Pelodiscus sinensis: one gene and its partners. The protein of the gene in region 1 interacts with the protein of each later gene in a biochemical or structural test. Links are inferred from orthologs where the notes say so. Each region holds a gene or a part of one and is shown on either strand. Other genes may lie near its edges.

The links.
Region 2: of the proteins of MAPT (region 1) and mitogen-activated protein kinase 11, one has a biochemical effect on the other in vitro, tested with the Homo sapiens proteins (2 studies listed by BioGRID). The link is inferred for Pelodiscus sinensis from reciprocal best matches to the Homo sapiens genes MAPT and MAPK11.
Region 3: of the proteins of MAPT (region 1) and GSK3A, one has a biochemical effect on the other in vitro, tested with the Homo sapiens proteins (4 studies listed by BioGRID and IntAct). The link is inferred for Pelodiscus sinensis from reciprocal best matches to the Homo sapiens genes MAPT and GSK3A.

The regions. Positions count from the first base shown.
Region 1 is NC_134739.1:7,126,410-7,130,153, reverse strand, and holds the start of MAPT (microtubule-associated protein tau), read left to right. Parts: upstream 1-948; 5' UTR 949-978; coding exon 979-1,846; intron 1,847-3,744. UniProt on the Homo sapiens protein: Promotes microtubule assembly and stability, and might be involved in the establishment and maintenance of neuronal polarity.
Region 2 is NC_134711.1:37,481,184-37,484,927, reverse strand, and holds the start of mitogen-activated protein kinase 11, read left to right. Parts: upstream 1-1,274; 5' UTR 1,275-1,466; coding exon 1,467-1,579; intron 1,580-3,744. UniProt on the Homo sapiens protein: Serine/threonine kinase which acts as an essential component of the MAP kinase signal transduction pathway.
Region 3 is NW_027465888.1:163,156-166,899, reverse strand, and holds the start of GSK3A (glycogen synthase kinase-3 alpha), read left to right. Parts: upstream 1-960; 5' UTR 961-975; coding exon 976-1,177; intron 1,178-3,744. UniProt on the Homo sapiens protein: Constitutively active protein kinase that acts as a negative regulator in the hormonal control of glucose homeostasis, Wnt signaling and regulation of transcription factors and microtubules, by phosphorylating and inactivating glycogen synthase (GYS1 or GYS2), CTNNB1/beta-catenin, APC and AXIN1.

The DNA of each region.
Region 1 (3,744 bases):
GGGTTCTGATGATGCAGACAGGCTACTGAACGAGAATACCCGAGCCGCTCTGTCGAGAACGTAGCAGAGGAAGACGTGGTCTAGAGAAGGGAAGATGGGTAGAATTCTGGGAGGCTGAGAGGTGTTAGAAGAGGAGGAGCTGGGGGGCGGATTTAAATTCATTTGTAACCTTGGGCAGAGGAGAATATCTGTCCCCTTACATTCTGGCCCGTGCTGCGCGAGCACATGGCTGCACAACCCACCATTATTTTGGACCGACGGAAGCAACTAACGTTTAATTTGCCGTGTGGCCAGCCTGTGAGCTTCACTGCCATTGTCCAGCGCTGTAACATGAGAGAGACTGGATGGTTTTGTGGCCTACAAAATCCTGCAGTTATGCCAGCAAAGAGAATGATAGCCAAGGCTGGCCTTTTGGGCATGCTCTGCTGGGAGAGAATCTACCCACGGGGTGCACAGAACATAACGGATTGCCCACCAGCATATTACTGAGGCAGGAGGGAGTTTTCAGCATGGGAGACAGGATAACATGATCAGCTACGGCAAATCCCATGTGTATGTTGGTACCCTGCCTCTTCCCAGCAAGGGCGCAGGCAGGCAGAGATGATGGATGATTCCATGTATATCACCAAAGCAAAGTGGTTCTGGTTTCAAGCCTATTGACAGGGACAAGATTCCTTTAAAGCCAAGAGAAGTTGCAGAATTGAATTTGCTCCTGCAAATGGCAGCGTGGAGTGGTTACAAGAAGTCTCTTAAGTTTTTTTTTTTTGTGTTGCAAGAATGACTTTCCGTTGACGTATCTATGCTAACTGTGCCACACTTGATATCCTACCCTTCCTCTTCGCCCCCACAGAGGAGCTGAGCTCCCCAAGGCCATGGGAGAGAGTGGAACTTGGAAGTCAGGAGCATGCGGCAAGGGAGATTCAGCCAGAAAAACAATCAGGTGAGGTTCTTCCGGAGACTCTTGTCCACTTGTATGAAATGGAGACTGGAGAACAGGCAGCAGAAATCCCTGCCAGTGCTGAGACCTCGATACCTGTGCCCCTGGGTATCTGTGAAGACTTCAGAGCCTCTGAAGAAAGCCAAGAGGCAATCTCCAGCACTTTGTTTACTGCGCCCTGGGACCGTGGTGGCAAAGAGGATGCTGGAGCGAGGAAAATGTTGGCCGATGACTTTGCCACATCTGCAGTTTCTGAATTCTCTCGGAGTGGTCCAAGTGATGAAATGTCCCATCGCGAGACACTTGCTACTCGGTTTGAAAAGTCGCCCCTGGGTGTTGATGATGTGGGGTATGATCCAAGGGACAGCTCCTGTATCAAAGGGGGGCCATCTCCTTTACATGCCAGCGGCAAATTGAAAGAAGAGGCCTCTGCGCAGGAAAAAGATGAGGACCGCGACATTGACGAAACTGTTCAGCAGGGTTCACCATCCTCATTATGCCGACAAGACTCGATGCTTGAAGCATTTCCCCATCCAGCCGCGGCCGAGGAAGCTGTAGAGGTGGATGCAGAAGGCAGGGAAGCTCATAAAGTGGCAGAGACTCTAGATGACACTCAACGGTGGCTGTCGGGGAAAGTGTATGATGCTGTCGTCCCGATGGAGCCCTCCGTAAGGATGTACCAAGTGGAAGTGGAAGCTAACGTAATAAGGGAGAGGGAAATCTCAGCTTCTCCACTAGAAGCAGCCACGTTTCCCGATAGGTTAAAAAAGGACGTGGCAGATGGAAGCGTTTCCGTGCAACAGGAGACGGGGGGAATGGTGCAGGCCATGGCAAAACAAGAGGCACTCAAAAAGAAACCTGCAACTCACATGTCAGAGAAACAAGTCAGTCGGGTTCCTCGTTTAAAAGGTGTGTGCATCTCGTTTTCCTGCTCCGCACTTGCTTCTCCAATGAGTTGCTTGGGGCAAGGCTGCTACAACCTCTACTGGCACCCCTTGCGTCCTGCTGCTTGAGAGTTGGCCGTAGGTGTTTGTGCCAAACGAATTCAGAGAGTGCTGCTGCTTTTCTCCCTCAGTTTATGCCTCGCCCTTGGTTTGGTTCATTGGCCTCACCCTCCGCTTCAGTTCTTGCTTGGATGCTGGCGTGCTCCCGGTTGTGCTTTTCTCCCTTTTCTTTTCAGTGTCTTTCGGTTGATCACAGCTGCTATGTAGGCTCTTTGATTTCACCCACCACTCTAAATAGATATAAAAGAAAAGTGTGAGAGGGACTTGTTCTGGGCATTAGCCTCCCTGGAGTAGCGTTGACACAGAGCAGGCTACATAGTTTCATAGCCGTTGCTAGTAAAGCGCATATGGCCAGGGGAGCCGACCCGTTCTGCGGGCCCCAGGCAAGATGGGGCGTCCAGCTCTATACACCCAAAAGGGGCGGGGCTTCAGACGGAAGGGGCGGAGCCAGAGGCAGCCAGCCCTCTGTCGCCCAGTACACGACACCTTCACCTCCTTCAGCTCTCAGAGCTGCCCAGTAGGGACGTTCGATCGCGTGTAGTCGAACAGTCGTGTTACCCCATCAAATTTTAGCAGTTACACGCCATAGTCAGCAGTCAGTGTGCACCCTTCCCCACTCCCGGGGAGCCTCCTGCCACCCTGCACTGCTGCCTCTAAATCTATTTGAAAACCCCCTTCCCATGCAGACCAGCTCCCCCTGCTGCTGCCTCCTGATTGAGGTGGCAGCAGCCCCTGTCTGTGGTTGGCCCGAGCTCCCCATGGACAGAGGCTGCTTTGCGGCAGCCTCCCCTGTTCCCTTCTCCTCTCCCCCTCCCCCCCACACACGCTGCTGTATCTAATAGAAGTAAAGTTAGGCCTGAGAACTGTGTTCCCTGTAAGTTGAGCACTTGGGTGGCCTCCCAGGAGAGATTCAGGTGCCGCCCTGCTGATTAGAGGCAGTTCTATCAGAGGCAGCAGGGTGGGGTGGGGGGGAAGGGACAGGCAGCACCGGCCTCCCCCCGCACTCTGCTGTCTCTGTAGAGGCACGCTGACATCCCAGGGCAATTGCCCCTGTGCCCCACTCGCCATTGGCGGGTTTCCGGCGAGCCAGCCCTTCGTGTCAGTGTTTCTAACAGTGCGAGAGGAGGACAGCAGGCAGGACTGTGTCCTCCCTTTGCAGGCCCAGCACTATGTGCAAGACCACCCCAGAGAGATGGCGGAGTTGTTGGGTGTATTAGAGAGGAGCGAGGTGACACTTGGCTGTGAGATGCCTAAGGGTGTCTGCCGAGAAACCTTGATGCATGTAACTGCTCCGTTAATAGCACTGCAATCAGGTCGCGCTACATTTAGGTGTTCAACTTTGTGCAACCAGGTTAGCTTAACCGGCAAGAGTAGGTGCCTAGATTCAGCCTGTTGGGGCACAAATGCCTTTGCTTGTGTGACAGGCCATTTTTCCTCTGCATTCGAGAGCTATTTCTCCTTTCATCCGAGGGAAACCTTGGGAGGTAGCCTGTTCACTAAAACATGGCTGCTCAGGAGGCTTGCAAGTTAGTGCACAGGCGTGAAAAACACAACGTGAGTTCTTTGGGGGCCAGACCAGGTGCAGCCATCCAGAGTTCGAACGTGTTTCTTCTGCTAGAGACGTGACAGTACAGTCGATTAACTGGTTAACCGATAAGCTAATGCTATAGGCTGCATGCATGTCCTTCCCCCCCCAACCTGCCAGTACATTTTTTAGCAGGCTGGCCAGCAGCCCAGCTCAGTCCTGGTTCGCGCTGGGTCCGGGGCCTACCTCCGCTGCCACTCTGCATTTATAGTGTATTG
Region 2 (3,744 bases), on another chromosome or scaffold:
ATCAGGAAGACTGGGAGCCAGGGCCTAGGAGTAGGATACAGGCTTATCCTATTGGTGCCAGGAGGCACCTGGACTTTGTTACCTTCACATCCCTTGTTTAGATTGCCTTGCCCCAGTTGGTTGGATTGATAACTGCTGTGTTTATCTTTGTCTGTTTGTTTGTTGAAACTGTTAATCAAGTGTCCCCAGTGCTATTTCTCACAGTGGTAGTGAAACAAAATAGAGGTGGTTTTGGATGGGGAAGGGGAAATCAACTAAAAGCCAGAATCCAAAGCCCACAGGGCTTGGAGTACCTACAAAACTTGCTTTCCAGATAGAGCTATGCCCACCCAGTGACTGATGCACCACTACACACACTGACACCGTGCAGTGGGGTTGGTGACAGTGTGGTGAAACAGAATTCAGGGCAGAGCAACAAAGCGATCTGGGAAATGGAAGATTCATAAGGGGACTTATGAAGAAAGATTAAATATATATTTGGGTAAGCAGCACAAGGGGCTATAAGAAATAATGAGAAGTAACTGGGGGGGTAAATATAGGGTGAATATTTCTGTATTGCTAACTTGCCTTCAAAAATCACGAGATTGGCTTAAAAACACAAGATGGTAAAAATAAACAGGGTTCTTTTTATTTGTTTTGTGGTTTTTGAGCCTTTAGGGGTTGTGTTTGTTAAGCTTTTCATTTTAACCCTGAGTTCTTCTGTAAATGCTAGCTGACAGTCAAAATAATCAAGGGAGGCTGGGGCTTCAAGAAAAATACTACCTATTCATCATGAGATTCACCAGAAAAATTACTAACGCTGGCAAGAAGGTAAAACAGCCTGGTAGCCAGATCCGTGAGGTAGGGAGCTTCCTGCCGTATCAGTACATTTACATGAAGTGGGTCTGGCCCACGAAAGCTCATCATCTAATAAACCATCTTGTTAGTCTTTAAAGTGCTACATTGTCCTGCATTTTGCTTCAAGTACATTTACATTACATTCAATAATAGAATAGAACCCGCGAACAGCTGCTTTGGCAAAACTGGGTGACCAGGTAGGTCCCGCCTTTTCTCTCTGCGCTCTCTGCTGAATTGGAAGAGGCGGGGCAGGGGATGCCCTGATTCTTCCAGGCTCCGGCAGATAGTCTGAGCTCTGCCGGGTTCCCCTCCGCCCCCACGCTCCCAGCCTTCTGGTCTGTTGTTGTCCGCTGTGTTCATGAACCAGGGCCTGCCCCGCCCCGCCCCTTGCTGTGACTCTGTGTGTGCAGCGACATTGGCCCTGGGCTCGCATTTCTGGCTACCTTTCTACGTGCCCCTCCTCCTTTCTCCCCTCCTCTTGCCGCTTACCCCTCCCTCTGCCCCTCCCCGGTCCCTCCTCCCTGCCCCCCGCCGGCGGTGCCCGCCCGGCGCTTTCCAGCTGGAGCGCTCTGGCGGCTGAGCTGGTGCTGCTGCTGCTGCTGCTGCGGCGGCGGCTGGTGCTGCGCACAATGTCCGCGCGAGGCGGCTTCTACAAGCAGGAATTGAACAAGACGGTGTGGGAGGTTCCCCAGCGCTACCAGAACCTGACCCCGGTGGGCTCCGGAGCCTACGGCTCCGTGTGGTAAGTGCGCGCCGCGGGAGAGCTCGGGCCCCTGCCGGGGAGACAGCTCCGGGCTCCCGCCCCGGCCAGCGAGAATTGCCCTGCTCGCCTAGTGGCTGGGCGCAAACAACTCGCGGGAGCCCCTTTGCACGGCGGGTCGCTAGGCCTGGGTTGGTATCGGCGAGCCCGGGGTGGGCGTGTTTGTGAAACGCCCAGGATGCGGGGAGGGGGGGAAGGACTCTGTCAATGGGCTGCTCTGTGTGGTCGATGCGGGGTAGTCAAGCGGGGCTGGAGCAGTTTGTGCAGCGGGGCTGCTGAGGGCCATTGATCCAAACTCTAATCCTTGGGTATGATGGAAACCACTTCAAGCCAGGAAGCGCGGCAGCAATTCCAGCGCCCCTAGTTAAGCACCTCTGGCCCATAGGGTCTTTATATGAGTATCTGCTATGGACCCAATAATGCTATAGGCTTGCTCTTCCTCTCTGTACGATGCACAGGGGGTTGCTCTGTGTGTGACTTCCTCTTCCCCGCCCCCACTAGGGTTAGGCGAAGGGAGAGGAGAGCTGGGGTTGAGCGCTCACAGTAATGTTGAGCTCTGGAATTCCTCATGGGTTGCTAAGGGTAACCTGGGTCATTCCTTCTGCTGAAAAGAGGCTTCCCCTCTTTTCCCCTGTGGATTTAAGACCTTCCTGATTGCTGAGCAGCATGCATGAATTAAAGTTTGCTAGGATGATTCTTTTATTCACACTGCAATTGAGGGGAGGGCAAATCTGGTGCATTCATTTTAGGGGGTGGAGGTAAAGGTGACTGGTGCTATCTTTCAAACAACTTAATATTGCTCTCTTTAAATAAAACTTTAGGTGAGTAAATCACCGGATCCACTGTTTTCCCCCTTCAGTAGCCTTCTCACTAGTTGATATAACACTGTTGCATCACCTGAAACCTTCACCTAAAATACCTCAAGGCTCATTTAAAACTGTTTCTAGGTGCAGGGAGACAATGACGAGTTTGTTTACAGAGTCTATTCATCTGTCAAAGAATCCTTCATGTTATGTGCACATTTAGCTGAATTAAAATTGCAACACTGCCAAGGATCTTGCAGAGTCATTGTCTCTGTGAATCAGAAATAAAACCTGGCTGTTTCTTTAGAATGAGGCAGAAAAAACTAAGTGTGTTAGAGCTCAGAGATCATTTTCATGAATAGCAAAGTTCTTGTTAATGTTATGAAAAACTTCACTGTATTTTGTCATGCCTGTTTCAGGGATACTTTGTGACCCATTGTCTTGCCTGCAATTCACTTGCTCCATATTTGTGTCTATCAGGGATACTTTGTGACCCATTGTCTTGCCTGCAATTCACTTGCTCCATATTTGTGTCTAAATAATACCTGTACTCACATTTCTCTGAGTTATGTGATTTTTGACAAACAGATTAATCAGAGGGCCAGCACAAAAGTGGAGAACAAAGAAATAAATAGAATGATATATAATGTTAAACATTATTTGAGGTGACTAGTATGATATATGGAAAAGCACACAGGGATCAAATTCTGCTCTGATTTATACCCCAGATAGCCTCATTTGGCCAGATTCAGTTGTTGGATGACTATATGTACATTTGTAAAGCAGAGTTAGAAATAAAGGGTGGGGGAGATCAGATGGTTTTGTGCTGGTATTGCTCAAAATGGGCTTGGTATAAAACAAATGATTTGCAGCTCCTTTTGCTAGGTATTTATTTAAATGCTTGGATGTTGTACTGGATTGAAAATTCAATCTGTGACCCACAGAGATTAGTCTCCACTCTGAAGAAACATTACAAAGCATATAGTTTCAGAAGGGTAGTCATGTTAGTCTGTAACTGAAAAAACAACGAATAGTCCTGTAGCACCTCAGAGACTAACACGAATATAGATGCTTCAGGGGGTAGCCAAGTTAGTCTATTACAGAAAAAAACCAAAAAATGGTCTGGTAGCACTTTGTAGACTAACAAAACATGTAGATGGTATCATGAGCTTTCATGGGCACAGCCCACTTCTTCCGATAACTGGAGTTAAGGGGTCCAGGGTACAAATAAACAGCAGAGAAAGAGAGGGGATGGGAAGGGAAAGAGAAGGAAAAAAACGGGGAAAATATTGTCAATTAGTGTGTGTCTGTTAAACGAGTCTAATAGAGTGGGCTCTAAGTACC
Region 3 (3,744 bases), on another chromosome or scaffold:
GGGCAGGGTCACACCTAGAACCCCCCCGGGGCAGGGGCACACCTAGAACCCCCCTTGGTGCCCCAGGGCAGAGTCACACCTAGAACCCCCCTGGGCAGGGTCACACCTAGAACCCCCCCTCGGTGCCCCAGGGCAGAGTCACACCTAGAACCCCCCTGGGCAGGGTCACACCTAAAACCCCCCCGAGCCCCAGGGCAGGGTCACACCTAGAACCCCCCTGGGCAGGGTCACACCTAGAACCCCCCTCGGTGCCCCAGGGCAGGTCACACCTAGAACCCCCCCCCCCGAGCCCCAGGGCAGGGTCACACCTAGAACCCCCCCTCGGTGCCCCAGGGCAGGTCACACCTAGAACCCCCCCTCGGTGCCCCAGGGCAGGTCACACCTAGAACCCCCCCGAGCCCCAGGGCAGGTCACACCTAGAACCCCCCGAGCCCCAGGGCAGGTCACACCTAGAACCCCCCGTGCCCCAGGGCAGGGAGCGGCTCCCCATGGCCCCTGGGGGGGTTGCCAGGCTTGGAGCCCAGGACGCTCCCGGACCCCCGCTCCCCCCGCGGGGCAGAAGCTTTTGGTCTTTTCCCCGCCTGCTGGGCTCGTGCCCTGGGGGGTGCGGGGGGGGGGATCTCCGGGCCCTGCTGCCCCCGCCCGGGAGCGGGGGGAGGGGTGGAAGCGCTGGGGCACCACGTGGGGGGGGCTGGAAACCGCAGCGTCCCCCTGGGGGCGGGGCCCTGCGCTCCAACAGGGGGCAGGAACCTGGAGCTTTTGACCTCAGGGCGGGGGTTCAGGAAACTACATTTCCCGGCGGCCCGCGCGCTGGAAGGGGGCGGGGCCCGGACTCCGTTTCCCGGCGACCCGCGCGGTGGAAGGGGGCGTGGCCCGGACTCGGTTTCCGGGCGGCTCGCGCGGCCGGCAGGGGGCGGGGCTAGGCGGCGCATGCGCAGGCCGGCAGCCCCCGCCCCCCCCCCGTCCGGCCTCGCCATGAGCAGCGGCAGCGCCGGCCCCTCCCGGCCCCGGACCAGCTCGTTCGCCGACACCGCCTCGGGCGGGGCCCCCCCCGGCCCCGGAGCCCCCGCCCCGCCCGGGGCCCCCCCGGGGACAGCGCCGGGCGGCAAGGCGGGGGCGGCGGGGCCCGGGCCGGGGGGGGGCGGCGGGGCCTTCCCGCCGGGCCTGAAACTCGGCCGTGAGTGGGGGGGGCAGCGGGGGGGCCGGGCTGCGGGGGGGCCGGGGGGTCCCACGAGTGCAGCGCTGGGAGTCGAGGGCCCCGGGCGCTGTGGGGCGGGAGGCCGGAAGGGCTGGGGGGGGGGCGAGTGGCCCCGAGGGGAAGGTTTGGGGGGGGGGTGATTCCCGGGGGGGCTGAGCTGGGGGGGGGGCGGAACAGGGCGGTCAATGTTCCCTATAATTTTGTGATCCATGTGTGGAATAAATGCTGCTCTGCGCACCGAGGCCTGTGCGGATGGGCACCACCCTTAGAAACACAAACCCAGCTTTGGGCGCTTTGCTAAGCAGCTGGGAGGCTGCCCAAGTGCCCAGCTCCCAGGGAGCTCGGGGGGCAGAAGGGGCATCCATTGGAGGGCGGTTTGGGATTCCTGGGTGCATTGGGCTGGAAGAGTCGTTGGGGGTCTAGGGAGCCACTGTTTGGGGAAAGGGGGCTCTGGGGAGCTGGGGTGAAGCTAATGAAGGGCTGAGGTCAGGCTCTGCTCTTGGGTCACATTAGGAGCCAGGAGGCTGGTGAGTGGCTCTCTCATTAGATATGGACAGTACGTGTTGGGGTTCAGGGGCTTGGCTGAGCCCCCCGTCTGGACACCCCATCTCTCTGCGGGGGGGTACCTGGGGTGAGGATTGAGGCTTCTCCATAGGCATTGCAGAGGCCCCCTGGGGACTAGTTGAGCAGGAGGCGCCTGGGGTGGTCACTGCCTGCTGAGGACTGTCTGGAGCAGGAGAAGTGGTGGTGCTATGGGGAGGCTGTTGGGGTCAGTGTCTTTCGGACGGAGGGGAGATGTAGGGGTTGGGGCTGAGTGGTGTGGGCAGTGGAGAGAGGCCAGTGGCAGATGTGCCCTGGGGCTGGTGGGGGGTGGGGCATTCTGGCTCTCTAACCTGGACCCTGGGAAGATGGGATCATGGGGGAGAGGGGACCCTGGCTGAGTTTCTGCCCCCCCAGTCTCCAAGGTCAGGATTGTGGGCTTCCCTGGCCATGCCTCTAACTGCCCCCTCGACTCCAAGGGACAGCAGGAAGGGAGGTGGGGGTTGGGGGCATCTCTCCTGTGTTTCTAGCTCCTCCCTTGCCCATCCCTAGCCGGAAGGGCAGGGTGGGGGTAGGGGTGTCCCTGGCTGTATCTCCAACCCGCTCCCAGTCCCCAGGGGGCAGCAGGAGGGGCCGGGGTGGGTGTCCCTGGCTGTATCTCTAACCCGCTCCCCGTCCCCAGGGGGCAGCAGGAGGGGCTGGGGTGGGTGTCCCTGGCTGTATCTCTAACCCGCTCCCCGTCCCCAGGGGGCAGCAGGAGGGGCCGGGGTGGGTGTCCCTGGCTGTATCTCTAACCCGCTCCCAGTCCCCAGGGGGCAGCAGGAGGGGCTGGGGTGGGTGTCCCTGGCTGTATCTCTAACCTGCTCCCCGTCCCCAGGGGGCAGCAGGAGGGGCTGGGGTGGGTGTCCCTGGCTGTATCTCTAACCCGCTCCCCGTCCCCAGGGGGCAGCAGGAGGGGCCGGGGTGGGTGTCCCTGGCTGTATCTCTAACCCGCTCCCAGTCCCCAGGGGGCAGCAGGAGGGGCTGGGGTGGGTGTCCCTGGCTGTATCTCTAACCTGCTCCCAGTCCCCAGGGGGCAGCAGGAGGGGCTGGGGTGGGTGTCCCTGGCTGTATCTCTAACCCGCTCCCAGTCCCCAGGGGGCAGAGGAGGGGCTGGGGTGGGTGTCCCTGGCTGTATCTCTAACCTGCTCCCAGTCCCCAGGGGGCAGCAGGAGGGGCTGGGGTGGGTGTCCCTGGCTGTATCTCTAACCCGCTCCCAGTCCCCAGGGGGCAGCAGGAGGGGCTGGGGTGGGTGTCCCTGGCTGTATCTCTAACCTGCTCCCCGTCCCCAGGGGGCAGCAGGAGGGGCTGGGGTGGGTGTCCCTGGCTGTATCTCTAACCCGCTCCCCGTCCCCAGGGGGCAGCAGGAGGGGCTGGGGTGGGTGTCCCTGGCTGTATCTCTAACCCGCTCCCCGTCCCCAGGGGGCAGCAGGAGGGGCTGGGGTGGGTGTCCCTGGCTGTATCTCTAACCTGCTCCCAGTCCCCAGGGGGCAGCAGGAGGGGCTGGGGTGGGTGTCCCTGGCTGTATCTCTAACCCGCTCCCCGTCCCCAGGGGGCAGCAGGAGGGGCTGGGGTGGGTGTCCCTGGCTGTATCTCTAACCCACTCCCCGTCCCCAGGGGGCAGCAGGAGGGGCTGGGGTGGGTGTCCCTGGCTGTATCTCTAACCCACTCCCCGTCCCCAGGGGGCAGCAGGAGGGGCTGGGGTGGGTGTCCCTGGCTGTATCTCTAACCCACTCCCCGTCCCCAGGGGGCAGAGGAGGAGCTGGGGTGGGTGTCCCTGGCTGTATCTCTAACCTGCTCCCAGTCCCCAGGGGGCAGCAGGAGGGGCTGGGGTGGGTGTCCCTGGCTGTATCTCTAACCCGCTCCCCGTCCCCAGGGGGCAGCAGGAGGGGCTGGGGTGGGTGTCCCTGGCTGTATCTCTAACCCGCTCCCCGTCCCCAGGGGGCAGAGGAGGAGCTGGGGTGGGT